Mytilus edulis: one gene and its partners. The protein of the gene in region 3 interacts with the protein of the main gene of each other region in a pairwise test. Links are inferred from orthologs where the notes say so. Each region holds a gene or a part of one and is shown on either strand. Other genes may lie near its edges. The genes, in order: enkurin domain-containing protein 1-like; CWF19-like protein 2; centrosomal protein of 70 kDa-like; ribosome assembly protein METTL17, mitochondrial-like.

Evidence for each region.
Region 1: the proteins of centrosomal protein of 70 kDa-like (region 3) and enkurin domain-containing protein 1-like interact in binary tests that used the Homo sapiens proteins (3 or more experiments, as listed by UniProt). The link is inferred for Mytilus edulis from reciprocal best matches to the Homo sapiens genes CEP70 and ENKD1.
Region 2: the proteins of centrosomal protein of 70 kDa-like (region 3) and CWF19-like protein 2 interact in binary tests that used the Homo sapiens proteins (3 or more experiments, as listed by UniProt). The link is inferred for Mytilus edulis from reciprocal best matches to the Homo sapiens genes CEP70 and CWF19L2.
Region 4: the proteins of centrosomal protein of 70 kDa-like (region 3) and ribosome assembly protein METTL17, mitochondrial-like interact in binary tests that used the Homo sapiens proteins (3 or more experiments, as listed by UniProt). The link is inferred for Mytilus edulis from reciprocal best matches to the Homo sapiens genes CEP70 and METTL17.

Annotation. Positions count from the first base shown.
Region 1 is NC_092352.1:85,469,654-85,477,158, forward strand, and holds the start of enkurin domain-containing protein 1-like, read right to left. Parts: upstream 3,016-7,505; 5' UTR 2,892-3,015; intron 2,861-2,891; coding exon of another isoform or gene 2,793-2,860; exon of another isoform or gene 2,747-2,792; intron 1-2,746. Other genes in the region: uncharacterized protein C2orf81 homolog, read left to right, coding at 3,322-3,437, 5,668-5,830, 6,249-6,321, 6,731-6,866, 7,247-7,352. UniProt on the Homo sapiens protein: Microtubule-binding protein which regulates microtubule organization and stability. Promotes the stability of astral microtubules and facilitates the proper orientation of the mitotic spindle.
Region 2 is NC_092347.1:12,299,789-12,307,355, forward strand, and holds the start of CWF19-like protein 2, read right to left. Parts: upstream 3,005-7,567; 5' UTR 2,981-3,004; coding exon 2,952-2,980; intron 852-2,951; coding exon 788-851; intron 112-787; coding exon 1-111. Other genes in the region: uncharacterized protein, read left to right, coding at 3,103-4,626.
Region 3 is NC_092345.1:56,957,639-56,965,116, reverse strand, and holds the start of centrosomal protein of 70 kDa-like, read right to left. Parts: upstream 3,022-7,478; 5' UTR 2,989-3,021; coding exon 2,953-2,988; intron 2,808-2,952; exon of another isoform or gene 2,687-2,807; coding exon of another isoform or gene 2,675-2,686; intron 1-2,674.
Region 4 is NC_092348.1:13,935,885-13,943,634, forward strand, and holds the start of ribosome assembly protein METTL17, mitochondrial-like, read right to left. Parts: upstream 3,025-7,750; 5' UTR 3,003-3,024; coding exon 2,907-3,002; intron 1-2,906. Other genes in the region: diphosphomevalonate decarboxylase-like, read left to right, coding at 3,804-3,855, 5,716-5,786, 7,379-7,446. UniProt on the Homo sapiens protein: Mitochondrial ribosome (mitoribosome) assembly factor. Binds at the interface of the head and body domains of the mitochondrial small ribosomal subunit (mt-SSU), occluding the mRNA channel and preventing compaction of the head domain towards the body.

The DNA of each region.
Region 1 (7,505 bases), on a different chromosome or scaffold from region 3:
TCATTCAATAAAAGTTTGTTCCAAGCAAAATTATCAACGTTTGCACAAACAAAGGAGTAGGTCCGGTAAGGACTGATTTTGGCCTCAAATTTCAGGTTCATCTTACGAAAGATTTTGACCACTTTTTAAACACTTATGTGTCTATTTCATTTGAATCAATTAATTTATGTGAAAGATTTTAACTGATTTAGTCATTAAAAACAACCCGATTCAAGCTCAAATATGAAAAATCTACCAAATCTGCCGAAAAATGACACTTTTCAGATGATTTTTGTCAAAAATGAATGTTGCCGCATCCGTGTTCATCCTCAACCATTATATATGTTATGTATTATCATAAAATACAACTTACATTTCAATATTAAGGATGAACACGAATGCGGCCACTTTCGTTTCACACGAAAACTGTCTAAAATTTAACTAAAATGCTAGAATTGTGAAGATTTCAGTAATTTAGCATGACTTAATGGTGCTAGTACCCGATATATGTGCATTGTATTGTCAAAAACAGCCCATATTTATGTAGCAGAAGCATTCTACTGTCCAATAAATAACTAAAAGTTTACATTTTAACAATTTAACTGCTATATTTTGGGGCCAAAAAGGGGTCTTACTGGACCTACTCCTTTTGTAAACGGACCTGGTTACTTGTATCCTACAATTGTTTACATGTAGGGGTGGCCTCTGGTGATCCGTAGATCAGGATGATCATGTTGATGATGCCTTCGACCAGAGACATATGTACAAATGATGTATGTCTCTGCATTGACATATTATTTATATCTGACATCACCCAAAGGCCTATAAATGGGAGAATACAAATTGGCAGTAAAATCACCAAGTTTGTTCATACAGACCATTTATAAATTCGATGTGACAGAATACAATTTAGTTTCAAGTCTTGTAGCATTTTTATATGAAACACCGCCACACAGGAAAATTTAAACACTCTAGGGTTGAAAGAAAAATAAGACAAAAGCTTAGTTTTAGCAAACAACAACAAACAAACAAATATTTTATTTGCCAATCACAGCGCCCAAAATGAGCAGAATAATCACAATATAATTTTCAGACATAATGTAAAGTAAATTAGGTTAAACAAAGTACATAATATGATTGATTTTGATTTAATTGATTGATATAAAATATTAAAGCAAATGAAGTAGGCAATTTGTAATAATAAAAATATATAATTTAATATGACCAATTGTCTGTTACTCTGGTCCCTTTATTGGACAGCACACCTCATAGAACACTAATAATCTATCAAATGTAAAAGAAATAACTAATGTAAATGCATATTAGCACTTCCAACTTGTTGCAAGACAAAGATGGTGGGAAATGCACTGCTTGGCAGTGGCTTTATATTCTAATTAAATATTCTTTTGATTTCACAGAAATGTCTGGGGTTAAGTTCAAATTCTAATAATTGTTAGTAATTGAATAAAACAAGCTATAGGTTGCACGATGTAAATATTTTTTCACAAATCATGCTTGGAAGATATATAATTTTAATAGATATTAATAGTTTCATACTGGTTCCCCAATATGATCTTTATGTTTCATCTCGTAGAGACATGACTTGTGAATGGTTATTAGTAAATACACATCATATGTGTATTTACCTCACCCTAGGTTTTCAGCATATTTCAATTTGACTGCATATTATGCATATTATGCAGTCAAATTGAAATATGCTGAAAACCTAGGGTTGAGGTAAGGGAATGTAGAATAAAGTTTAAATGCAAGTTAAAACTGAAGTTCCAGGCATATTTATAAACGTTGAAAATATGCCGCAATGCTAAAACGGCCTGGGGAGAACACTGAACCAGAATATAAATTTGATCTGTATTTTGGGTAATAAGCATTGTCATGATTGTGACTTTGAGTATAAGTTTGATAATATTTGGTAAAGGCAAACATAAATAATAAGGTGAACGGAAACTAAAAATTCAGAACATAGAATACAAAAAAATTTAGAAATTTTTATGTTTATAAGGGGCATAACTCAAAAACTGTAAAATATCTGATGCCATAAGGTAAAGGTGATTCTTGAATGACGTCAATAGTTTAAGCGGTGCAGATTAATTTTGACAGGTCAGATGGGAATACAAAATGTAGCGATAAGGTGTTTAAACAATAGACATATTGACACTTGACTGGCTTGTATGCAAATTTATCTGCCCTTACAGACCGTGCAAGGGCTATATAGCCAGTCAAGGTTGTTAAAAACTTCCATTTGTATCTGTCATTACGTAAAATCACACAGGTTTCAGTAAACTTTGACATCATAATTCAAAACTTTGATGTCATAATTAAAAAGTGATTGTTGCTTAAGCCTTAACGTCAAAGGTGATAGGGAGATAGATCTAAGGTCATTCTGTTGCAAAATACTCCTTATCGCTATTTGTCCGCAATTACTGTACTGTATATCACACAGGTTCATGTAAAATTTTGATGTCATAAAACAAAATATCTGATGCCACAATGAAAAAGTGATTGTTGAATGCGTCAAAATTGCAAGCAGCCAGGTCAGCCGTGATTAGGGATAAGGGGTATACAACTTAATATGTTTATATACTTCTTAGGGAAGATCTGGTATTTCTAAAGAAAAACCCAAACAAATAAATTTAAAAAAAATCCAGTCTAAATAACAAGATTAATTTGCTGATCTTTGATGTCATAGACACAAGTGCTGTTATACAAATGTTAACACCGAACTGTTTGAACTAATGCCGAACTCTGATGGTCTTTTCAATGCATTGTGACGTTTCAAGAATCACTCAGAAATTATGGGTTTGCTGCAGTCAGATTCGGACTTGGACGAGCTCTGTCATTTAGAGCTTGCTGCATCACAATGGTGAGAATGGGTTGCATATTGCATGTCTTACATAATAACTATACTCTGTTCCTTCTTCTCACTTGCGATAAACTGATGTTTTGTTTCTCAAATGGCCAAAACGTGTGTTGACAAGGTAAACTATTGACAGGACTCCATTGTAAATTGTTTCGATCACGTGACGTTCGAATTTTCAATATTTTCTGAATTATTTTTTTTTAATTTTCATATAAAGATAACCGGGATTTTTATTTTCATGTTCAATGTAATTGTGTCATTACTTGAATTTTTTTAAATATTGACTCGAGAAATTACGATACCTGTTCGTCTCCATGAAAACTCAAACATCCGGTTTATAAAAAATATTAGTGCCCGAAAATAGAAAAAGTGTTTAGATATTCTAAACTGCGAAATATGTAGCTATTTTTAAGTGTCTGATAGTGTTCTGAATATAAGAAAAAGTAAATCCGGCTGTAGAAACAATGTCAAGAGCTGCAGTATCTAAATCTCGGGCTGACAAGGGCTCAAAACCAGCTCCAGCCCACACTCCAGTCGTTGCTCATGAAATTGTACCAGGAAAATTCAATGATCAGGACTGGTTTGTATAAATTTTTCAAACTTAAATGCACATTAAGATCCGCAGTCAGTGACTTATATATATATGGTCAGATTATATGTTTCGGTACGTCAATGACCGTCATATGATATGAATTCGTTTTACGCATGTTTTTTCAACGGAAATTATAACGTCACAATGCATATTTTAATCATGTTTATAGCACGTAAAGTCATGAAATGAGGATAATTGCAAAAATTTGCGGTTATTAAACCCACGACTGTTTTACATAAATTTTTTTAACAATTTGAAAGGGTTTTCGACTGATAAATCCCCACTTACAAGTTAAATCAATCTTACCATGGCATGTTAACTCATACCAAATTTACAAATCATTAAAATTTGTACCTTTAAAACTTCGGTAGTCTTGTAGTAGTGGGCTTGTCTCATTTCTGTTGCATGAGTTCAGGGGTTCCAAATAAGTTAATTACAAAAAAATGTAGGTCACCCAAAGATAGGAAAATTTGGTTTTTGCTGGTTAAGGGCTACGGAAACTGCATTTACATGTATATATTAAGGAAAACGAAGGTAGAGCTCAAAGTTTAAAACAATACAAAATATTATGAAATCAAATTGCATGTTCTGAAGTTGACCTGAATTAATTATTGATTGGTCTGAATTGATTACCAAAGAATACATTGATAACCACATATATTGAGTAAACACAAAAAACTCATTGTATTAAAATTTTATCCCTCTAATAGGGCTCGGTAAGTATGACATAATGTTACAAATTTTGCTGAACTGTGCTGGTTCTTTATTTATTTAACACAGTTTAAAATTGTTAACTTTGTTTTGTTTTGTTCAATATTAATTATGTTTGAATGTTTGTCTTTGAAATCATTGACATTTATATGTGATAATAATATATAATGTCCACATTGGAAGTAAATAAGAAAATTGAGCAAAAGCTGAGTTCATACAGTGACCAAACAGTAAGATTTTATATACCAAAAGGGTCAGGCTAAATAAAAAAACCTCTAATGATTGACAGACATTGCCAAAGTGAAAAAAGAGTAATGTTCAGACAATGTAAAGTTCACAAGATACTGAAGATGAGCAACATGAACCCTAAAACAACCCTGCTTGAAAGAGTCATTTTGCTTTGGTTGTCTTCAAAAAAGAAAGTTCTAAATAGGATACTCTTTTTTGTTTTAAGTGCATGCTCAGAGAAGACATGCAGTCCATATCTATTTCACACAATAACTTATAATCAGTTACTGAAACGTTATTTATTTATTTTACACAAAAAGCCCTAATTCATGTGTTCTTTGAGCATGTTCTGATCGAGCAAAGACTTCCATATGATATATATATAATGCTACATTTTCCTGATTTTTTTTTAAGAGTTATGGTTATTTGAAATTGTACAGGAAAGTATACATGTATAGCAATTCCATGCATAAGTGTTTACCAGAAATTTAACATTTGAATCATGAAAAAATATGTGGCTCTCTTCATTGTCAAATCTGACCCGACACCTTGGAGAGCAACTACGTGACCTGCCATCTCAATTGAAAGAACCTGTGACTATTTACACAGGTTTATTGTGTAATATATTTTATAAACCTCAAATTAACCCAAAATTGACCTGAGACATTTTTTTTCCCCACTAGTGGTAACAAATGTAGTTTGTCTAACAAAAATGCTGTTGCTGTATTTTCTGGTTTGTCTGTAATACTAACAATCATATAATATCCCCCAAAAAGGACCCAAAAGTACATGAAATCACCAAAGTTGTATTTCTATTTTAATTCCCTGACTTAAGAAATATAAAACATGACACATTATTTGTGATGGCCTTGCTATTGCATGCTGTGCTCAATGCAACTAATGATAAATAATCATAGTATTGTTATTATCATATTGGTAATATATATACAAAATGTACATGTATTTTCTGATTCAGTTTTTATGTTGATGGCAGTATAATTCTTATTGATTAAGGTATATACAGGTATGCTGAGAATACTTGAATTTCTTTGTATACAAAAGTGTTTTTTATGGGATTAAATAACTGAGAACCTCATTTTTTTTTAATAAAATGTTTTTCAAACAAAAATTATACAAAAACTTATTTAAATCAGCAATAATTCATATTCAAATTTGAAATTGGAAAAGAAATCATGGGTAATTAAAATAATATTCTCAAAATGAATTTTAAAAAAGCATGAAAGTGTAGATCCATAATTGTTAATTTTTGTAATTTAAGGACCTGGATGTTGGATAAAGATGGAGCAGAAGACTTCATTGAGGATATTGTGGAAGAAATTGTTGATACATCACTAGATAAAATATATAAACTATATTTAGATAGACAGTTATTACCATTCACTGTTACCATGGCAAAGGATGCTATCCTTCAAGTTATAGAGGTAATAACCATACATTTCCTATAAATCAACATAACAAATAACTATTGATATCAACAGTTTTTATCTTAACAAAAGATTAAATGTTATTTATAGATTTGTAAACATACACACATTATAATGCACAGCTAAAACTTGCGATTCCTCCAGCTGCTTATTGAAATGAAAATGTGAGTTTTTTCCCTATAAGGGAAACAACTTGTACATATATATACATCTCTAATACATGGTCAGTTGTAGAATTAGTGAATAGACTATTTGATATGTCAGTGACCAGTTGATAGCTTCAACAAAAACAAGTTTCATTTTGGTTTTGACTTTCCTATTCCTAATAATGTTTCATTATTTTTTGTAAATGATATGTAACTGAGGCTAGTGTTTTTTATTGCTGCCTTCTATTATACTCTCTTTTTTTTTGTAGTGGCAATTTTTATCTAGAGATGAAGGAGAGACAGAACTTGAATCAACTGGAGAAGGATGGATAGAAGATGAAGGTATAGAATAATAGTCAAAGATGTAAATGTGTTGAACAATTTTCTGATTTCTGAATGAATTATTTAACAAAAAGATTTTTACCAATCATACATAAAGCACTCAAAATGGAAAAAAAAAACATATTTAAAAAAAAGCAGAACAAAACTCATAAAAAATTTAAAAAAAAAATTGTGTATTGCTTTTTCTTGTTTTGTGGTATTCTTACCAGGATTAGTTTTGTAAAAATGAAAACTTGCATTATTTCAATAAACTTATCACTGTAAAGTTGTAAGTAAATACCCATCAGCAAGTCTCTATATTCCTGAACATAGTCAAAATTGAAAACAAGTTTAAAAAGAATCACAATATAAATTAAATGTACATGGTACAAAAACTATAGGCTAATATGTTACTAATTTCGTTTTACAGAACCAGATGCAGCTACTACAGACTGCTGGGCACAAGGTTCTGTACCTAAAAATATCATCCCTAGACGTCCTATCTCACCTGTGGCCGAGGAGTTTGATGAACATCCAGACGTTATTGACGAGGAACCACCATCTCTGTATGTTCAACTTTTTTGACGTTTAAAATTAAATTGTTTTCAGATGCCAATGTTTATATATTATACAGCCATGTAAATTAAATATTCATCCAAATACTCTGACTTCAACTATTGAAAGGCGGTCATGCCTATAACATTCTTAAAAATTTATACTTTTAAAGATATTTGAAATGTAAATGTAATTTTAATTAAGAAGTAAAGAACTGTTAATGAACCATGGCCTTGAATATCAAGAGATACCAGTAATTTAATTAAAAAAAATGTTGATGAATTTTCTTTTTAGAGACATTATATAATGATGTAATTTCTCAAGGTTTTTTTTTTAAAGAGGGGAATAAAGAGATTTAAGTTTATATTAAATGGTCTTCTTTCATTTTTAGTGATGAAGAAAATACTAAAGTTACAGAAGAACCAGAAGAACTTGAAGATAAAGTTTCAGATGATGAGCGACCAGAAGAAGAAGAAAAGAAGACAGAAACAGTACAGGTGACATTCATTTACAATCTGCTATCTTTGCTAAAGACAAAACTTTTCAATCTAAGTTCTTACTTAAGTTTCTTTGTCATGAGCAATCAGCTGATTCAATGAATATTCTTTCCACAGTTTAATTTAGATCAATTGCAAATTTCTGAAATTATC
Region 2 (7,567 bases), on a different chromosome or scaffold from region 3:
CTTTTGTTCCCTTTCTAGTCTCTCGTTTAATGCTGGAAGCATCCATGTATCCTCTCCTCTTAATTTGGCTTGTTCTTTTTTCCATTGCTCTTTTTCATACTCCTTTTTAGCCTTGAAGGAAAGTTTTCGGACATCCATTATACAGTAGTTGTGCTATATATATATCAATGTTAAAAATACACACATCAGGGGTGGATCTGGGAATTTATAAAGAAGGGCGTACTACGTATACCATTAAAGGGAATATAAAATCTCATGAAAATATTTGTGGACAATTATATCCTAAAAATTTCCAATCAAATAGGGTTGAAACACCCTCTACATAACACTGAATACAACATTGCAGTATTCAGTAGTAATCTGCAGTGTAACTTACTCATTTGAGGAGACAAATTATAAACCCAGGTCCGCCTTAAATTAAGATTCAAAATGAATAATGCAAAACAGACATAAACATTTGTAGCACAAAACCTATCAGATTTGGGCAAATAAAGAAATAGCTCTTGAAATTGAATTTCCAAAAGGGATTATCTGGGTTACATCTCCCCCCCCCCCCCCCCCCCCCCCCCCCCCTTCCTTCAATGAGGGATATACCTTAAATGATGGACTGTTCCTAAAAACTGAAATGCATCGAACTCGAAAGTTGTCTATTGTATGGTGTGTTTGTCTTGCCCTAGAGGCTATAAAAAAATAGACTTTAAATAATTTTAGAGAAATCTTGCTTCATTGGCGAATAAGTTGGGGCGAAAACTACATAAACGTGGACCCCTTTTCTATCTGAAATTACTTTGGAAACTAAATAATCCCTGGCTTCTTGTATTTCCTTTCTTTTAGTCTTTTTGTCTGTTGTGCTTTCAAGGGAAAACGGTAGTATTTAATTTTCCCAGCATTAGGTTGGCCTTTTGTGTACCCAAGGCAGGTGAAGGAAGTCAAATTAGGAACGCTGTGATTGGATGTAAGGGTACAATATATTTTTTATTTATCTATGAATAACTGCAGTGTGTATATTTACAATGTAAATTTTAAAACCTAATGAAATATTTTCTAGAGAATTATTCGAAAAGACTTGCAAAATTTCATAAATTTGGTGCAAAATGACGGTGGGCATGGATAACATAAACAAGCTCCGTTGGAAGTTGGTCATGATACTATTTGGCTTTAATTTTTAAAACAGAGTAATAAAGTACTATCACAACATATAGCTGTTTTATCCAGGTTTTTATCTTAAAAAGTGGTAAATTTAGAAAATGTGAACATTGTCGCCTATGGCAGAATAAATAGTACCGTTTTCCCTATACTGAAGATAGCAAGGGAAATCAAAGTCACTCAAACTTCAATTCTTTTATACTATTTTGAAGCTTTTGATTATTACATTTGATTTTTATCACAAAGAATAGAAATTTTTCACTGAGAACAATACTGTGTTTAGAAAAGTGCTGAGTCATCATGATAGGTCAAATTGACTGGTAATGATATAAAACTTTATTCTAGGATGTCAATATTAACTATATTGTGTAAAATGCACCATATTATAGTTCTTTTGTATTTGATTTCACCTTTCGCAATGATTTTTTCAATTGGAAACACCAGAATTCAAGTCGCGACAAATATTTTTTACTGAAATGTTTGCCTTTTTTGCTGCGTAATTCCCTAAATGTATAACTTGGGTATTTCTGTAAACATAATCTATTAAGATGGGAAATTGTCTGGTTTAGTTTGTACTGTTTATGGAATTAGGCAATATTTGGTCACATTGAAAGCATTTTCAGTGTTAGAATTGTTCATCTAAGAAAAAAGAGGCCCACTTGAGGCTAAATTTACATAGAACTTATACTCTCCTGTGTAAAGAATTGTTCACATTCTTGATAATGCATGCAGCAAATATTTCAAAAGTGCTTCATTTTGTAGTTTCTTTCTTTTATTACATCAGACATAAATAATTTTTCATTTCCTACTGTTTGAAAGGACTTTTGTTGGAAATTAATACTCCCAAGGGACATAATTCAGCTTTTTCATTGATTAATACAGGCAACAAAGACAACTTTACAGCTGAGTAGTTTGCATATTTAATGTTTAAAGTGTCTAATATCTTTGTTTTCATCATCTCAAGACAGAATAATAGATTTTATAACAAGCTCTAAAATTTTTAACCACAATATGGCATATACTAAAGCATGGAATGGAGATTAGTATGAAAAATCTTGAATTTGTGCATTTCTTGTAAATTTTTGATAAAATGAATACAAATTGAATGGAACTGTCCATTTTATCTGTTTAAATGGAACTATTTATCATTCTTTTTAAATAAGATAAGATATGATTGGATACAGGTTGTTTATTAAGGCTTTTCTGAAAGAAGTAGAGAATGAGGTAAACCAGCATGTAGGGGTGGGGACATAAAATGATCTATGTTTCTTTATGTACTGGAGACATACAAGTATTTATTATAGCCAAGGTTTTCACAATAGCCCAGTATTGCATTAATAATGTCATAAGAATTCTTTATATCTTTATGTCACAGTATAGGGAAAACGGTAGTATTTAATTTTCCCAGCATTAGGTTGGCCTTTTGTGTACCCAAGGCAGGTGAAGGAAGTCAAATTAGGAACGCTGTGATTGGATGTAAGGGTACAATATATTTTTTATTTATCTATGAATAACTGCAGTGTGTATATTTACAATGTAAATTTTAAAACCTAATGAAATATTTTCTAGAGAATTATTCGAAAAGACTTGCAAAATTTCATAAATTTGGTGCAAAATGACGGTGGGCATGGATAACATAAACAAGCTCCGTTGGAAGTTGGTCATGATACTATTTGGCTTTAATTTTTAAAACAGAGTAATAAAGTACTATCACAACATATAGCTGTTTTATCCAGGTTTTTATCTTAAAAAGTGGTAAATTTAGAAAATGTGAACATTGTCGCCTATGGCAGAATAAATAGTACCGTTTTCCCTCAAATGCAATAGCACTCATCTTCTCTAACGTAGAGGATTGAAAAGTATATAAGGTAAAATAAAGAACAATTGACGGAACAAAAAAAAACATTTCCGGAAACGTAGCCGGATATACTATGGCATTTAGGACTCCTAAGAGAAATGCACAAAACAGGACTTGAGGGAAACAACTGGCTATTTTTTGAAAATTGGTATACAGAATTGACATCAAAAGTTAAATGGAAAGGAGAACTCTCCCATCAAATCATAGAACAACAAGGAGTACGACAAGGAGGAATATGGTCCCCGTCAGCATATAAAATATTCGTCAACTCCCTACTAACAACATTTGAAGAAAACCAAATCGGAGCCACCATTGGCTCAATATACTGTGGTATTCCAACTGTTGCTGATGATGTCACATTAATTACAACCGACCCATATGAACTTCAGACCATGCTGGATATCCAATCGAGTTTTGCAAACAAGAACAGATACGAAATAAGTGAACAAAAGTCTGTGGTACTTACCTTTAACGATTCTTCAGAATGTAATTGGCATTTAAATGGCAAACTTATGGCTACCCCAACGTCATCAACACATCTAGGAATTGAGAGGGACAATACCTCAAATACAGGCACAAAACTTGTCGTAAAAAAACGGATCATTACAGCAAGGAGAACAGTATATGCACTGATGGGTGCAGGTCTTCACGGACTTAACGGAGTAAACCCAAAAGCTGCAATTCATCTGATTCAAACATACGTTCTACCTCGATTGTTATATGGTCTCGATGTCATCACACTTACTACTGAAGACATGAAAAACCTCTCCACTTATTTTCGAAAACTCTTGCGACAAATTCAACACCTGCCAGACAGAACTGCAAACGTAGCTTCACATCTTCTTCTCGGACGGATTACCATTGAATCAGAAATACATAAACGAATACTGAAAACCTTTGGAAATATCATAAGAAATGAAAACTCAATTGAAAGAAAATTAGCTATCAGACAGCTAGCAACAAAATCTCTACAATCTGGTAGCTGGTTTACAAAAACTGTTGAAATTGCCAATATATATGACCTACCATCGCCATATGATATTATAGATAACCCACCAGGGAAACAACTTTGGAAAAACCTGGTAAATAAAACCGTCAATGATCACTGTATAAAACAAATGATAAGTGAAGCAAAATCGAAATCTACTCTGTCTCGCCTAAATTATGAAAATGTCAAAGAAGGGAAAATACATAACATATGGAAAAGCTGTGGCACAAATCCATATGCCATCACATCTGCCTCCTTAAAGGCAAAGTTAGCAACAGGGACAATATACCTGCAATATCATCGAGCTAAATTTAGCAATGGACATGTGTCGCCTATTTGCCAGTTATGTGCAGAGGAAGAAGAAGATATACTTCACTTCATATTAAAGTGCTCTAAGCTACAATATATAAGAGATGATTTTCTGCATATGATAGGCGAGGTATTGACAGAAAACCTAGAGGATCAGGATCTTATCCAAGAATTAATAACCAATGACGAACATTTGTGTCAGCTAGTTATCGACTGCTCAAAATTTAGATTTTTAAATGAGAATGCACAGAATAGAATAGAAACATTATCGAGAGGTCTGTGTCATAAATTATTCCAGCAACGGGCAATATTAATTGAACAGTGATTAAAAGCGTGTAATACCGAGCTGAAAAGAAGGGTCATACCAAAAGATAGAACATTTTGTTGTATATAGTGTATTTACATTTTACCGTTTTTAATATGAAAGAAGCAACTTTTATATTTGAATGATGGATGACTTTTTATGCATACCAGAATAATGTAAATATTGGTGATAGGGTCACATCCCCCAGAGGAGATAAATTAATATCTCTTTTATAGTTTTAAAGGTTTTATATATCTTTTAAACATAATCTTGAGGATTTTAACCGCGAGTGATATTACACCGATTCTAGGATTGGTGGTTCTCCTGACATAGGAGGGAGTTGCAGTACAGGTAACAGGTAACAGGTAACGTAGCGACGGTAAAAAATAGCAGGCATATATCAGTAAAATTATTTAAAATTATTGAATGAAAATATTGACAGTGTTATCAAAAATGCTAATTTGACCAAATTATAAATCAGATCGATGTATTTTCTAATTTAAAGTTATTTCGATTACAAAACAAATATTTGTTTATTATAAAGTAAGCATTGCCGCCCGGTATGTGTGTGCCATTTTTGTCTCAAAAACGTAAACATTTTAACAAAACATTAACTGAAATGCATTCCCTATCGTTATATGACTATTCAGTAAGAATGACCTATATTTATATACAAATCAGGAGACAAATTTCCGGTGTTCGTTAGGGAATTTATTTGAAAGGTGATGAACTATCAAATGAATAGAGTTTAAAGCCTTTAAAATTATAGCAATTGACCATTAATAATGTAAAATTCCCAGTAGCATATTCATATATGAGTATGACATATATGATATGTAAATCATACTGCCCCAAATCAATATACAGTTATCATACGTAAAGGCATTTTAATATGGCACTGGCTACGGTTACATGGAAATGTAACAATAATAAAAATATTATTGTTACATTGGAGACTAATTGCCGGATGCAAAGTTGGGTGAGGAACCGATTAATTACAAATGTAACAATAATTACTGAGGCTACGGTTACATTACGTTATTGTTACATGAAAAACAGCAATGTACGCTAGATTGATTAACTTAAATCTTCTATCATAGTTGTATTGCTTCATTCTTTCATATGTACTAAACAATACTTGTTATTTAATACTGATTAATAATAAAATATTATTATTCAACAAATGGTGTACAACTTGAATAGTTTTACTACGTATTAATGGTTTTGATGTTCTTAAAGATACAGTTACTACTGGATTTGTAGAAATTGTCATTGTAAATAAAAAATTACAGTAAATAAATTGTATGTTATAAATGTATGTTATAAATGTTATAAACTTTGGTTATTTAGTACATATTACTAGTCCCATCGTACATTGCTTTTTTTCATGTAACAATAACGCAATGTAACCGTAGCCTCAATAATTATTGTTACATTCGTAATTAAACAGGTCCTTACCCAACCATGCATTCCGGCATTTAGTCTCCAATGTAACAATAATATTTTTATTATTGTTACATTTCCATGTAACCGTAGCCAGTGCCTTTTAATATAGGCACTGGCTACAAATCATTATGGTGTACAACTTGAATAGTTTTACTACGTATTAATGGTTTTGATGTTCTAAAAAATACTACTCAAGATTCGGAGTGTGACTGTCATTAAGTAAGTAAGTAACTGCACACCTACTCTTATTACTGTCATTATACTTTGGACCAATTTTGTTTATGGTGAAAAAAATAAAACTTGGGATACGTTTAAAACGAAACTGAAACAATATCAAGACATACATTTCATACAGCTTTATAACTTGACGCAAATTGATAATCAAAAGCAAAGTTTGCTAACTGTAACTTAAATACTAAGAAATTCTGTATGTGCACGTATCCGTGGAGGACGTAATTTCGTTCATCAAAAATGTGTCGGACTTTAAAAACAACTTACTGGATTTGTAGAAATTGTCATTGTACATAAAAAATTACAGTAAATAAATTGTATGTTATAAATGTATGTAATAAATGTCCTCAACTTTTATTATTTAGTACATATTACTAGTCCTATCGTACATTGGTTTTTTTTTATGTATAACAATAACGCAATGTAACCGTAGCCTCAATAATTATTGTTACATTCGTAATTAAACAGGTCCTTCCCCAACCATGAATCCCGGCATTTAGTCTCCAATGTAACAATAATATTTTTATTATTGTTTATTGTTACATTTCCGTGTAACCGTAGCCAGTGCCTTTAATATATGATGTTATAAAAGGAGGGTCATTTTTAAATAAAATTTCGTAACCTTTTCCCCCCTCCTATATGATTATGACCCATATTTTTTGCACATCCCCCGTGCACCCAATGATAGCCTTTATTAGGAAACGAATTCTCCGTGATGTATACACAATAATTACAATTGCCGTAGGCCTATACGGCTTTGCTGGCCAATGGTTAGTTTAGTTTAAACAATATTTTATTCAAATAAATTGAATTGGATTGGGCAACAGGCATAGCCTATGTAAGCCCTCTCCACAAAACAAGGTACAATATATTACATTCAAACAAAGCAACACATACACAAACATAAAGACAGAACAGAATTAATTTTTCAAAAATACCTCTTAGCTGACTGGAATGATATTTCAAATAGTTAACTCAGATCAAAAGTATGACTATTTTAAAATGCTTCAAATGTTAAATCAGAAAAATTATGAAAAAATAAATTATGGAAAAAAAAGTTTTGGCCAAGGGTTACAATATGCACTTCCCGCTTCTGGATCGTAACCATTGGTTAGCGAAGATGCGGATATCTATACATATATAGGTATATAGATAATTCATTTAACATGCACACAATAATAAAATTATTAGAGATAAGCAAGTGGGTGAACAAAAGATAACACCACCCTTTATATAGTGTCACTAAAACCTGCAGTTAGGCATTATTTTGGTAGATTGTTTTCCC
Region 3 (7,478 bases):
AGCATAACAGTTTTAATCACACACACAAATACCAAATAAGTTTTCAACTTTACAATATATAAAGATTAAATTTTGACAATAAAAGAGGTTTCTTATTAATCTATCTGATCTTTTGGCCTAATATATCTGATTTTTAGGCTGACAAATCCAAAGGAGCATGACCTAATGTCCATGTCAGACAGTATAAAAGCTGCTAATAGTTTTACTGTTGGACATGATATTAGGATTATTGTCTTCTTAGTTGATGATGGCAATCATTTTGTTAGACACATGTATATAAAAACTGCTACATTTTGATGCAAGGTTATCAAGACATAGCTACCAGAACTGAAACCTCCTCTTCAAACCCCTGGACATTTTCTCAAAAGGAATGTAATATTTGTACAGGAAACCTATAGACCACTTTCAAGTTCTTTGCATTTCCATAAAAAAACTTTGGTTTTAGTGAACATCATTCTGAATGAATTTCATGCGTTTTGGAGCATTATCACTTCCGTCCCATGTTAAGAGAGTGGGTGATAAGTACCTACAAAGCAAACATTATTTGTACTTTATCCTGCATAATGACATTTACTAAACCCTTGATGAACTTTTATAAAAGTTCAGGAATACAGGCACATGATTCCCTTTATTAGGTAAATGACATCATAAATGCATGCATATACATGTATAATTGAAACTTTTTTGGTGAAGGACATAACTTGAAACCTTGATGATGATGGAAACTAGCTTGAATGTTTCAAAACAACAAATAATTAAAAGCTGTATTGTAAGTTGTATGAGCTTCATGCTACCGACCTTATCAACATATTCATAATTTGAATGTGTTTTCCCAATTCATGTGATGATAATAGCATAGATAAACATTTCAAAATGAATGTAAACAGTCACTTTTACATACAGTATGTGTGTGCATTAACCCTCTTGCTGCCGAGTTTTTTTCTTGCTTTGTCGCGCCAAAAGCATCTTGAAGTTTCTTATGTGTGACGTTGCAAAACTTGTGCCTCTCTGTAGAACTGCGCTTTCCCGCCGTCCATGATTTTTCCTGCGTCAATGTAGCCGTAATTATGAAAACGATGTATAAGTAATTTTACAGATTAAATATGCTCCAAGATTGTCATAAACGATGTTTTTAATACAAGATTATTTAAAAATACAACTTTTAACCTTGTAATATATTTTTTTTTATCTTTCTTGTCTTAAAATAAAGTGAAAATAATATACCGATTGCTATACTAGCTTTAAAGGCGACTTTGTTTTATCTTTGTCAAGTGAAATGCATAAATGATTCTTAACCACTTATAAAATAGTAAAATATTTATTCTCGTTTTTTTATTAGATAATTGGTATAAATACTGTAAAAAAATCTCTCAAATCATATATAAACGGCAAAACAACGGCACTCAATGAAAATGAAAATATAAACAAAGCGTGTGCAAATTCATAAAAATAAATAAAATCTCCGAGCATCTGTTAATTGATAAATTGTTCTCATCGGATGTTGTCTAATGCTTAGTCCGTTGCTGTGTGTGTTACATTTTAATGTTGTGTCGTTGTTCTCCTCTAATATTTAATGCGTTTCCCTCAGTTTTAGTTTGTTACCCCGATTTTGTTTTTTGTCCATAGATTTATGAGTTTTGAACAGCAGTCCTACAAAGTAAAAGATCTGTGGTGAATGCCAGAAAAAAGAGGTTGCATCTGGGAATGGACATCTATGATATATATGATAGGAATGGAAATCATTGTGTCTACTTCTAATTTAACATCCCCATTTCGAATGAAAATAAACATTTTTAAGGCAGTGCTTCCTTGATGAAACAGGTTTAAAATGTATTGAAATATCGTATGGCAATACAAGTACATCGGTTAACATGTGTGTACTTTTACAAAAAAAATCCTATGTCAATCGTAGTATTTGAGCCCTAAATAAATTATCTAGTTCTTTTAAATAAAGCGTGTATGGAGTATTGTGAATGATTATTAATATTTAACGTCATCAAGTATAACAGTTATCTTTTTTATGATTTTTTATCAGGGATAAGATTTTTTCTTTATATGAGATATTCTGATTGATAGATGTACGAAAAAAAACGTAAATTTCTCGACAAAATGCAACATTTTACATGAAAATGACGAACTAGATAATTAGTTAACACGTTAAATAAGTTGGTATTATAGTACTAACAAGCTTATGATCCTGTATCATTTCTTGACATCCGTTTTAAGTATCCTTTTAAAGCATTTTATTCAGTTTGCTTCATTCCCGCCAAAATCGCCCTTTTGACGCCGTATTTTGACGTTGTCAGTGCCCCTGAGTATTGTGACGTTACAATGAACCTTTGACGTTCTACACAATCAACAAGATTTGTGTGTAGAAGCCATAAATGTCCCTTTGGCAGCAAGAGGGTTAATGCCACCTTTAATCATGAAAAATGCACTAAAAATCATTTCAATATCAAAATAAAATGTATATACCTGCAAGAATGACCGAATAAAGTCAAAACAACTTTTATTTATTGACTTAAAGAAGGACTACACAAATGACAAAGTGTATTTTCATTAGTAAGTGACCACCTACTGCACAGTATACTACAGTAGCATTGAGTTACATTAAATTTATAATTCTGTTGATTTTTTAGAATGTAAAAATGTGATTCAAATGTGAAATATTTACTCTGCGAGGCATAATGTCGATCAACGTTCAGGTACTTCTTAATAAAATAATTTCATAGCTGTATAATAAGTGTTATCGAAGTTACGGATAGGAAACATGTCCAAGCAAGTGCCTGAAGTGGGCCAAGAAATTCAAATTTTAGCGGGCACTGACATCAGATTATTTGTTAACTTATCAGAATATGTTACAATATCCATCTTTCTTAGATAAAACATGTTCAAAATCAGCATTTTATAGCTATATAAAAATTGATTTGTACAATAATTTCAATCAAATACCAATTTTTCAAAATATCTGTTTCCAAAAGCCGCCATTGTTGTTTACATATGCGACACTGTTTTGTTTACAAAAACTCAATAATTTAAGGAAGAAATTCCAATAAAAAAAAATATTTTCGAAAATAAAATTAACAGGTAAATTTTTCATACCATATTTTAAAAGTATAAACAGTGGGAAAATAGTTATTACTGGATCGAAATTCACTGCGGCTTTACGAAGTAACAAGTGCCCGGATTTTGTGTAAGTGTTGCCAGGCAGATCGTTTCATTCTTCTTCGCTAAAATCTGTGTTTTTATACCTTTATATGCTTTAAGGTAAAGTGAACTTTTAAACCTGCTAAACAGTAAAAGTATTTTAATTGTATGCAAAATGTAACCAGCTGGTAACCTCTGCAAAAGTTTTTAAATCCTCCTACCTTGTTGACAGGTTGTCCACACAGTCATAGGCAAATGTTTCTGAATTTTGTAACATATACATGTGTACATTTGTATCTATACCTTAATATAACACAAAGTACCCAATGCATTTGTGAGAAATAACGCTCAATCACGAACTTTTGTGATATATCAGTTCTGCGGTTGCAGTGTTCTCCTCTCCGGCCGTCATATCCTGCCGTACTCCGTAGTCTATAATCGGTATTCATGTCAGTTTGTTAGGACTTTGTAAATGTACTTTTTACATGAAGAATTTCTGCATTGACATCACTACGCTATTGCCAGTGTACAAAATTAGTGCAAAATGTCTTTAGTCTTTAGTGAGTGTCAACTTGACACTATAATCTCTCTGTATTAGATCGGTATCAGGTCCGTTCGCGCCCAAAACACTTTCGCATCCTACACGTTCGCACCTCGCATGTTCGCACCCAAGGTCCGTTCGCACTCTACACATTCGTGCCCAATTTTAATTCACATTCCAGTTGAATAATTGGAAAATTATGATTGTTGTTTAAAGTTGCTTTGGTGTAAATACTGAATGTATTTATAGCTTAATATGAGTAAAACTTTGAAGATTTTAAATGAAAAACACAAAAGATAATTGTTTTTAACAGCTTGGTCCCTTTGACCTGAAACAATAACACAATTAAATATAGCAATACACTATTATAACCAAAACATGATAACATTTATTCAACACAGAAGAAAAAAACGTAGTCAGAATCTCCTTTTATTTTAAAACAAGTCAATGAAACAAAAGTTATAGCAATACACTAACCAAAACATGATTAAGAGTTATTCAGCACAAAATAAAACGTTGACAGAATCCCACTTTATTTAGAAAGGATTATTAATTTTTTTAACAATACACTATCCAAAACATGATTAAGATTTGTTCAACACAAAAAAATGCTGTCTCACTTTATTTTGAGACGATGACAACAATTATACTTATTAGAATACACTTGACAAAAATTTGATTACAAAGTTATCAAACACAAAACCAATTAAAATTGGGGGCGAACATGTAGGGTGCGAACAGACTTTGGGTGCAAACATGTAGGGTGCGAAAGTGAAAGGGGGCGAACATGAGTGTGTGCGAACGGACCCGGATTCATTTAGATCACTCTGGTAATTTTATGTCGCTTTTGTATAAAACTCATTAGTACGTTTGTATTTATGATGTGGCACCGCAGAGAAAAATAAATAAAAAAATAAATAAAAAAATAAATCAATAAATAATTAACCCTTATAAAACCTTAACTATTTATTTTGTGAACCTTCCAGTATTTTTAATAAAAACCCCTAACAAATGTTGAATATCATCTATTATTTCTGTTGTTTCTAATAATACTTCTGATTCAAGTGTTAGTTTTGATGTTATGAAGTAAAGTGCAGAGCACAGTTTCTCTCTAGCCTCCTCATAATGTTCACAATACAGTAGATAAAGGTCAACTGTTTCTTTTTGTCCACAGCTGCATTTGTTGTTGAGTGCTGGGCATATCATTGATTTGTACGAGTTTAAATTACAATATCCTGTTCTTAAGCTAGTTGATATCCGATACATTTCAGTTGATGGTTTGTCTTTTAGAAGTGTATTTTTTACATTTTGTTGGGAGGAATAATATCTTTTTCCTTTACTACTGTTGTCCCATCGGTTTTGCCGTTTTAACATTACACTGTCTTTTGCTCCTTTTTGTATATATCTTGTTTTGTGACTATTGGAATGCTTTCTATTTTTTTCTGCCTCCTGTGTTGCCTATTTAGCTAGTTGGTCTGCTAGTTCAATACCTTGTATTTCAGCGCGTCCAGGGGTCCATTCAATGGAAACAATGATTCCTTCAGATTTAAGTGCCAAATACCAATTTTAATAACATGAATAGTTGCCGTAATTAACCGATTTCCAATTTAAAGTTAGAATTCCAATTGCTGATTGGCTGTCTGAGAAAATTTTGATGGATTCTGTGTTTTTTCTGTTGTTTTCTGGCTGTGTTAACTCCACATGTTCTGTGCTGCTTGGTATTAAAATAGCTTCCCCAGCCCACAACCTGGGTTTCCTCTGCAGGAGCCACCAGCGAAAGCTATTGTTGTATTTTTTTTTAGTTGATATATTTTTTCAAAATAATAGTCTTTCCCTGAAAAGCTTGTTCCTTTGATCTAGACTTTGAACTTCTGAGATTTTTCCAATACTCTGGTGGTGATTTTGAGGCTGCTAACCCTCGGAATTCCAATTCATACTATAAGGCCGTTAGATTTCTCGTTTGATTTACAGGGTTTAAGCTAGGATTTTGAGGGCTTTAGTCACTTTAGCGCGCTATGAAAATCAACCTTTTTTTTGTGTAACAGCAAGGGACCAAGGATTTATATTACTAGCTTCATCTTTGACTTTGTCAGATTTTAAAGGGCTTAGGCATGATTGGCAGTCTAACAGTATTATATGATTTGACTTTTGGCCCTTATTATGAAAGATTCTGACATGGGATGTGGAAACTTAGTTCACAATTTCTCTTCAGTTTGTTCCAGAGGACATTCCTGATCAACAAAAGTTAAGATTTATTTCTTTTTTAAACAAGGGTACACAGCAGAAATTAACTTGCAATGATAATATCACTGCATAATCATTATCCTTATAAAAAGTCTAAATCAATATTTGGAAATCTTTTCTATTAAGTTGGAACTGTATAAAATCCTTTTGGAACGAGTACAACGACTGAAAGGAGGTTGTAAATAAATCAAGAATAGATCACGTTTACTACTTTCGGTTTTAAAATGAAACGAAAACGGGAAGTGACACGTGGATGATAAAGTCCGGATTCATCAGGAATTTATCAGTTTTCGGTTGAATTTTTTTTAGTTAGAGCTATATATTTGTCTCTCTCGTTTAATTGATCTAAATGATTTCGTATTTTACATTTTTATTCAGAGTCTATAAATAGTCATAAGTACTTCCACGCATGCGTAGCACACAGTACAGGAAGCACCTGTTTAACTCGCGACGTTTTGAATACAGTTCTATATTTTAAATAGAAATTGTCGAAAGTTTTTGATGGCAATTTATATCAATTATGACGAAAATGCGTTCGAATGACGAATCTACGACAAATGATCTTCAAATTGTGATCGTTAGAGAAATATTGAAATTTCAAATGCGAACTGTCCGGGGGTAACCATTTCGATTAAATGACGAAACTATAATATACACCTGGTTGTTGAAATGTCAACTGACTGATTTTCCTGAGTAAATAATTATGATGGTCAACTATGAGGTTTATTAATAATAAACGGATTAGTGACCCATCTGATGGCGATAATCGGATTAGTTGTAATCACAACTTGTAACACCTGTTGAAAATGTTAATTACCTGAGGGTCATAAACTTGTCAAAAACATAGAAACAGGTAGATTTATAGTCCTTTATAGTATTTTAATGCGAAAATATTTTTTACACTTTCAAAATTTAAGTGACGAAATTGATTTGAAATACTTTCGTCAATGCGAAAACTCTTTCGTAAATTACGAAAGTGACGATCGCTAGCAAAATCACTGCCGTTTGAATTGTTTTACATTGTCATATCACGCCCTTTTATAACTGACTATGCAGTATGGGCTTTTCTCATTGTTGAAGGCCATACAGTGACCTATAGTTGTTAATGTCTGTGTCATTTTTGGTATCTTGTGTACAGTTGTCTCATTGGCAATCATACCACATCTTTTTTTTTATATCTATACCCTCAGAATCAATCTCTGTTGACCTCATCATGTCTTCAGACTGTAATACCATTCTTCCAATTGGTGAGATTATTTTTTCAGGTTCATTTATATTCTTTCAATATTCAAAAATTAGTTTAATAGGGATAGTGATTTTATATGATTTTATTTTTGCAATTTGCCTTAAACCGGTTTCTTTTCTTTTGAGGTCCAGTGGAAGAATTCCTGCTACTACTTCTTAAGTTTCTATACTAGCTGTTGTTGTGGTTCGTTTTTTATACCCCACACACGATAGTAGAGGGGCATTATGTTTTCTGGTCTGTGCGTCCGACCGTCTGTCCCGCTTCAGGTTAACGTTTTTGGTCAATGTAGTTTTTGATGAA
Region 4 (7,750 bases), on a different chromosome or scaffold from region 3:
TCGTTCCAAAAATTTGAAAAATCTGCAATTTCAACAACACATGCGGACACTAACAAGATGGTAGTCTCACATATACTAAATCTGCTCAAAATCTAAAGGCCTTAAAAAAAACCATATAGCTGAGATTTTCAACAGTTTCTCAGTCCAAAGCCCGTAATTTCGACAAAAACTAGTGAAGCGGAACGAAACTCAAACTTGATCTGTAACTCATCATGGTTAACTCACATACCAAAAATAAGTCCAATATCTAAAGCTGTTTAGAAAAAAACCTGTATAATGGTTTGTTGCGGAATGACGGAATTTCAATATTACGGAATTTCGGAATTACGGAATTACGGAATTTCAGAATTATGGAATTTCGGAATTACAGAATTTCGGACAAGGGTAAAACTAAATGTCCCTGACAACTTTGTTGCGGGGCCATAACAAAAAAGCCTTCAGTAGGTTACTAGCAACATAGTGTCAATGAATGTTAATCATGATCATGATGATTTACCACGTTTCGGTTTGACCAGTCATAAAATTAGTAATACACAGTTAGGAAAAAAACTATAAATTGACACTCATAATTTTTAACCACTATTCTTTTCCTTCTTTTCTGAAAAATAAGGCTTTATATATATGTGTATATTTATTGAAAGAGCAAGAGTGATAATGGTGAAAAATTCTCTTTTTGGTGTAAATATAGCAACAATCTGCATTTATTTGATACAAAATATTGCAAAAATAATTAAAAGGGTGTGAAAATGTCACAAAAGTCCCCATAATTGGGTCAAACAAAAGAATAGGTTTGTTTGCCCTACCTACTCAGAAAATAGCTGCAGACTCAAAATCTTTTATTGTCCTCATGTGATTTTTTTTTAATCAGATATGCATGAATATGATGAAGACTTCTAAACATCCAACATGTCCATGATGTCCAATACTTAAATTTCTCTTTGTCAAAAAAAGAAAAAGAAAATGCCTACCTACCTAACTGTCTCCATGTTTGGGTAGGGTTTGGGCAAACCAAAATATTTTTAAAATTTCAATACATTAGAATGATACCTTTCCTGAAACCATAGGCATTTATCTATCAAAAGGTAAAAAAAAATTCATATATATAACCATTTCCACCTCTTTCGAAAACAAATTTGCTCCCCTATTCAATATGGCCGAACTAACTGTGAAGTTACCTACATTGTATAAAATTGAGGAAATGGGGAATTTGTCAAAGAGAAAACAACCCGACCATAGCTCAGCAGACAACAGCCAAAGACAACCAATGGGTCTTCAAAGCAGCGAAAAATGTATGTTTGTTTATAAATGTCATAGATATAAGATTTTTTGTGTTTTAAAGCCACTTTTAGGCACATGTTTAGGAGCTGCGAAGGTACAGTAGAATCTGTGTACACTCCCTACATGCCCTATCTTGATTAACTTTATTACAACAATGTTTACAAGGACGGGTGCAAGAGAAGTCGGCCAGGAGACAACTAAGACTGTCTCCATTAAAGTCTACTGGGACAGTCTATGAAGACAACTCGGACCGTCAATAAGAAAACGTGGACCGTCAATTAGACAACTCGGACCGTCTATAATAACAACTCAGACTAAGTATAAAATAAGACTTTTGATGAAATAAATGATTTAAGGGTGAAAGCTATATGTCTGATGAAAGTTTTACAGTCAATTTATATAAATAACAATAACTCGGACTTTCTATGAAGCGATGCCTATATAGACAATTTAGCATGTTGAGTGTTGTAGATGATCCGAGTTGGTGTTGTTTTTTTTTTGCAAAGTCAGTAACATGGCGAAATGATGTTGCAATCTAAAATATATTGTTTAATAATTTATAATAATTTATGTATAGTTTAAATCCTCCTTTAACACTTTGGCTGTGTTGTTCTTATAGACGATCCGAGTTGTCTTATTGACAGTCTGAGTTGTCTTCTTATATGGTCTGAATTGTTTTTTTTAGATGGTCAGAGTGGATGTGGTCCGACCTGTCTTTGGGTCAGGAGTGTTGGGGTATGAATAATACAGATATTGAGATAACAAGTATAGAGGAAAACTTGTATGGGGACGAGGTCCCCAATTATGGTAGAAAAATTTTACAAATGAACTCAAAATCGTTAACTTTTTTTTCAGATCTACTTCCTGTTCCAGTTTTCCCCGCATTCGCGCAAAAAATCTACTTCCTTTTCCGGTCTTGTTTGCATGAGACTTTGAATAAAATATATATTTATCAGTCAACATGTTTGAATTAAAAAAAAAATTAATACAGACTTCGTCCCCATTCACAGGTAATGCCTGCCTCATATTAACTTTAAGAACGTCACAGCTAGACTACGTCACAGCTAAATCCCTAACAACCGAACCAAAATCGGAACGTTACGGTATTTCTGTTTCTTTTATCAATGTTTGAATTCAAAAAAATAATGCATACAGACTTCATCCCCATTCACAGGTTGTGCCTGCCTCATATTTAAATTCAGCTGGACATCATGACATGATTGAGGGTAGTAATGCCCTTTACCATCAGGCGTGAAACGGTCATTTTCGGCTACCGTTAGCGTCAAATTGGTTAAAATTTTACCATGATTCATCAAATTATCCTTATCGTGATTCGCGATTCGTTAGAGGTTTCAAATAATTATCATTACCGTCATTTTTAGGGAAAAAATTACTGTGATTGGTTAAAATTAGCTCGTCTAAAAGAAAGTGTCATGCGCCAAAAATTACCATTAACATCATTTGACAAGAATTTTTACCGTTATTCGTCATGAAGGTCCCCCATTACCTGACCCTCATGTCATGATTGTGTAACCGAATGTCAGACGAATCTCAGAGTTCAAGCTAAGGTGGCAAAAAAGATAAAAATTAACGTGGTTGGTGAAAAAAATTTGAAACGGATGATTTACCTCTGATGGGTGTATGATTTTGGTCGATTTTTTTCTATATTGTCGAGAAAACAGTTTCCAAGAAGAAACTCTTGCCCTGTGCATGGGGGCTGCCATTTTTCTAAGTTGAATGGAAAGAAAACCCTAGAAAAAACCGAAAGTCAAGTTTTGTCTAATATTTCATAAAAGAAAATTTAAATAGAAAGACAACGGTTCGTGGTCTAGTGGTTAAGACCGATGGCTACAGTGCTGAAGGTCCCGAGTTCGATTCTCACTCGGGGTGCTAAAAATCTCAGTACATTAGAAGGGTAATTTTCACCCTCTCACACACATCTCTGGTACCCAGACCGGAGTTTAAACTAGAATGGGTACGTTGGGGGCCTCGGTTGGTCAAAGTGTCCCTACTTTGACCTGGAGATCAATCTTCTGATATCTCTCTGGTTTGTCTGTTTCCACCGAGTGGCCCGGTGGTTCTCTCCGAGTACTTCGGCTTCCTCCACCACAATAACAGACTTCCCGGTGTCCTAGCACTCCCTTTGTGTTGAATTGGGTGGGGATTGGTTGTCCTTGTAAAAATAATTGTCGTATAAATATACGTTAGTGACACATCTCCATTAATCCCGTTAGGGAGTGTACATGGATGCCACTGTACCCTCGCAGCTTTCGAGGGGTTCTTCGGATATCGGAGGCATTTACCAGTACATACATACAACGACGGACATTAATTAAATAAAACAGAAACAGCTGCAAGAGAAGACCAATTCGTAAAAAAAGAAAATTTTGTGGTTATCTGCAATTAGTTATCTCGAAAAACCATATGATTGAAAAAAAAAAAAAATATGAAATACAGGCCACGGTCAATAATATTTACTTTCGGAAGCTTTCAGCAGTTTTCCTTCATCTTACACAAGCCAGGAAATGCAGTGTGACACCTGCACAGGACCTGTAAATATTGCTGTTATTAAATATTGTAAGGAACTACAGTATCAATGGCAGTTTTAATGTAAATGTAAAGGGCCAGGTGCTACTATTCAAAAGCAGTAAAGGTCGAATAAGTAGCCATTTACCTTGAAAATTCAGATCCTTTAGGGGTATGTGAGGGGGAGGACAGGGGGGTACCCTTCTCCCTTCTCCCACCCTCTTCTCCTTTCTGCTACCCCTCATCTCCTTATTTTATTTTTTTTAATTTACCGGAAAAAAGATTTTTTCATATTTAATTTTTTTCATATTTAATTTTTTTCTCAAACATTTTCTCCTTTCTCCCAGCCTTCCTCTCCTTTCTCCTACCCCCTTTCTCCTTTCTCCTACCCCTTTCTCCCTGTCTTCCTTACCCCTTTCTCCCTGTCTTCCTTACCCCTGTCCTCCCCCTCGTATGTAGGTCTGTTGCAGCAGGGCCCACAGATGCTTGAGGACAGGAGCGCTATAGTTGAGATTCACGTTGATAGTAAACATGCATATTTATAGTAAAAATATGATATATTAGTATATATATGGTACACATAAGTGATATATGTATCGAAAAATCTGAGATTTATGATAATAAGGGGGAGGTACTATATGGGGCTCATACAGGATCCTATCCTCAAGCACCTGTGAGGCTGTGACAGGGCCTACCTATTTTATTAATTGTTAATTAGTTCATGTCCTTAAACCATGTTAACCATGTAAAACATGCATGAAATATTTGCCACTGGACGTTAAGTAACCACCAATCAATCAATTTAATCATGCAAATGTAAAATACATTAATAATTCAAATTGAAATAAAAACATGATTATTCAGTTATACCTCTTTTTCATTGTTCTTCATGTTCTTTGTTCAATATTACAATTTCATGGTTTCACTGGTCTTTTTCTTGTTTACTACATGTATCATGACTATATGTAATATGTAAACTATATTTAGTATATATGAAAAGATTTAAAGTGTACAATAACTACATGTCTGTCTGTATTGGTAAATGGTTTATCTGACCTTGACTCATTTCATGGATTATGATAATGTGAAGACTTAAGTTTATGTGATATTTGTAGTAAAAATGTATGACTACATGTACCAACAAAATATCAAACACAGTTATAAAAGCAGGTGATACATTTCAGTTTGTGCACACTTGTGTTTCATACATGTATGTATAACTTCATAAACACACTAGACGTGTTATAATTATGTTAACAATATATACAGCTTATGAAAAAATCAGGAATAGAGAATTGCTTTAAAAAAACCAGCATCTTCTTATATTTATATACATGATATATAGATTCCACAACTGCATCAAGTGTGTTACAGTATTTCTCCACTCCAGACAGTTAAATTTTGAGTCTTGTCATGCGTTTTGAATATATGTAAAATTTTACTGTTGAGAGTTGAGAGGTATTGTTATACACATGATATAGTCATGATAGTAGTAAAATCTAATTCTCTAATGATTTGTAGACGATATCTAAAAAAATATCATTCCTTTTCAAAGATTTGTGGAAAATTGTGTTCTTTTCATGTGACATCATTAGACATGGTCGCCTGTTTTTAAAACATTACAATATAGGCAATAGGCAGTGATTTTGCTAGCGCTCGTCACTTTCGTATTTTACGAAAAGGTTTTAGAAATGACGAAAATATTTCATATCAATTTCGTCAAAAAGGTGTTAAAAGTTGTGATGACAAGTAATCCGCCTATCGCCAATCAGATGGGTCACTAATCCCTTAATTATCATTATAAAACCTCATAAATGATCATCATAATAAATGAATAGGAAATGAATTATAATTTAAAAATGACCTATAATTTAAAATGTATAATGAATAATTTTTTTTTCTAAATTTCAGGGGGAAAGAGAAATGAGAAATTGATACTGCCATTGAACTCTTCAGTTAGTGTGACACTTCATCAGAATGAGGTATTGTGAACATGGTGAATATGCAGCTAATGTTTATTTATTTGGCATAGTTATAAGAGGGGTGTAAAGGGGGGTATGTGCACAGAAGAACACAAAATAAAATTGGGAGTCTCATTGGGGGGGGGGGGTTCTGATCCTGGATCCCGCTTATTGTTGTGTCAGATTCCCGTATCCCGCTTACACTATGTACGTAAGGAATTCTCATTTTTTTGTAATTTCCAGTGTCCCGCCAGACTTCATTTCCCGTTTTCACGGCACAATAATTTGACTTTCACGTGTCACGCTTACAAAAAAAATCAGCAATCCCACGTCACACTTAGACCCCAATGAGACCAACAAAATAGCCATTTCACGATGAACGAACAATTGAAAAATGGTTGCAGGTTGATCTTTTTACTGATTTCATGAAACACAGTGAACAACGAACCTTTTTCACAGCTGCACGTGAAATAAAAATGGCAAAAAAGTTGCATGAAAATAACCCTTTAAACCCTCTTATAAGCTTCTGTCCAAATAGACCTGTATCCTTAACTTATTGGTTGAATATATAAACCTAATAAATGAACAAATCTAGCATCTTCCACATCAACAGCTTTCGCTCAGTTAGTTGTATTTTTTCATATCAAACCTGCATGACCGTTTATCAGAATATTTGTCATGAAAATATGGGTCATTTTCTAACATGAATGCAGGCTGTGTTCCTCTTGACAATTTCTTTTTATGTCAAATTATTTTTCAATAATGATTTGGTGGGTTGCCTATATTCATTGATATCATGGGTAATATAGAAAAACAACTTATTTAATATTAAACAAAGTTTTTTTTTATAGGATTTGTATACAGACTGCAGGCAAAACCATGATATCCATATGATATCCCTGAAAATGCTATTTATTTTTAATCCCCAAAAATATTGGTATCGGAAAATGAACCAGAATCATAGTCTTATTACTATGTTGTATCATGATTATAATGCTATTTCCATTTCATAGAAAGTCTTTTCCTGTTTCTATGCACATGATGCATGAATATGAAAATCTAACATTTTAAAAATTAAAAAAATGAATGTCAATGCTTGAAATAAAAAAATTTTTTGCATGTAATACTTATAACACAACACTATCAACTGTTGGTAATTTACATCTGTTGAAAATACTCATATGGTTTTTGGCAGGAAATAAATTATAAAATTGTGAAAGATTTTTTGAAAATAGTATTTTCATGAATAGTAAAAAAAATACTGTGAATTCATTTATATTCGTTGGATACTAATTTTCATCATGTTCATGGTTTTGTGGGTACAGGAGAACCACGAATTTAGATATTCAACGAATTACAAATTTTCTAAAGTAATGTGTGCAGACTTTGCCAAAACCACGAAATTAAATATCCACGAATATGCAAATTTTCCTCAAACCATGAAAATTGGTACCCACGAAAATAAATGAATCCACAGTAATCGACATGTACAAATGTATATTTTACACTTTATTTTCAGTTGAGGACTGAAACAACAATAGCTGCCAGTCCAAACTTTACAAAAGATCAGATCTGACTGTACTCTACATGTATATTTTACACTTTATTTTCAGCTGAGGACTAAAACTACAATAGCTGCCTGTCCAAACTTTACAAAAGATCAGATCTGGCTGAATGGTGTGTAAGTCTTTATAGGAGTTATTTTATAAAGCTTAATTTATTTATTTATCTTCAGAAATTTATAGCAGCATTGCAGAACCTTAGTTAAGTAGTATTAAAAGTAGGCAAAGCTCTGGAAAACTTCAGAAAGACCTCACCCAATAATCTTCTTATCTTCATATCAAAAGTTATATGATCGAAAACATCATGTTAAACAGTCTACATATAGCTTGTTTTTATGTTATATTTTAACGATACTTGTCTACTTTTGGAAACACACACTTTACCATGTTAACTGATATTGTATTTCTGATATATATATCAGA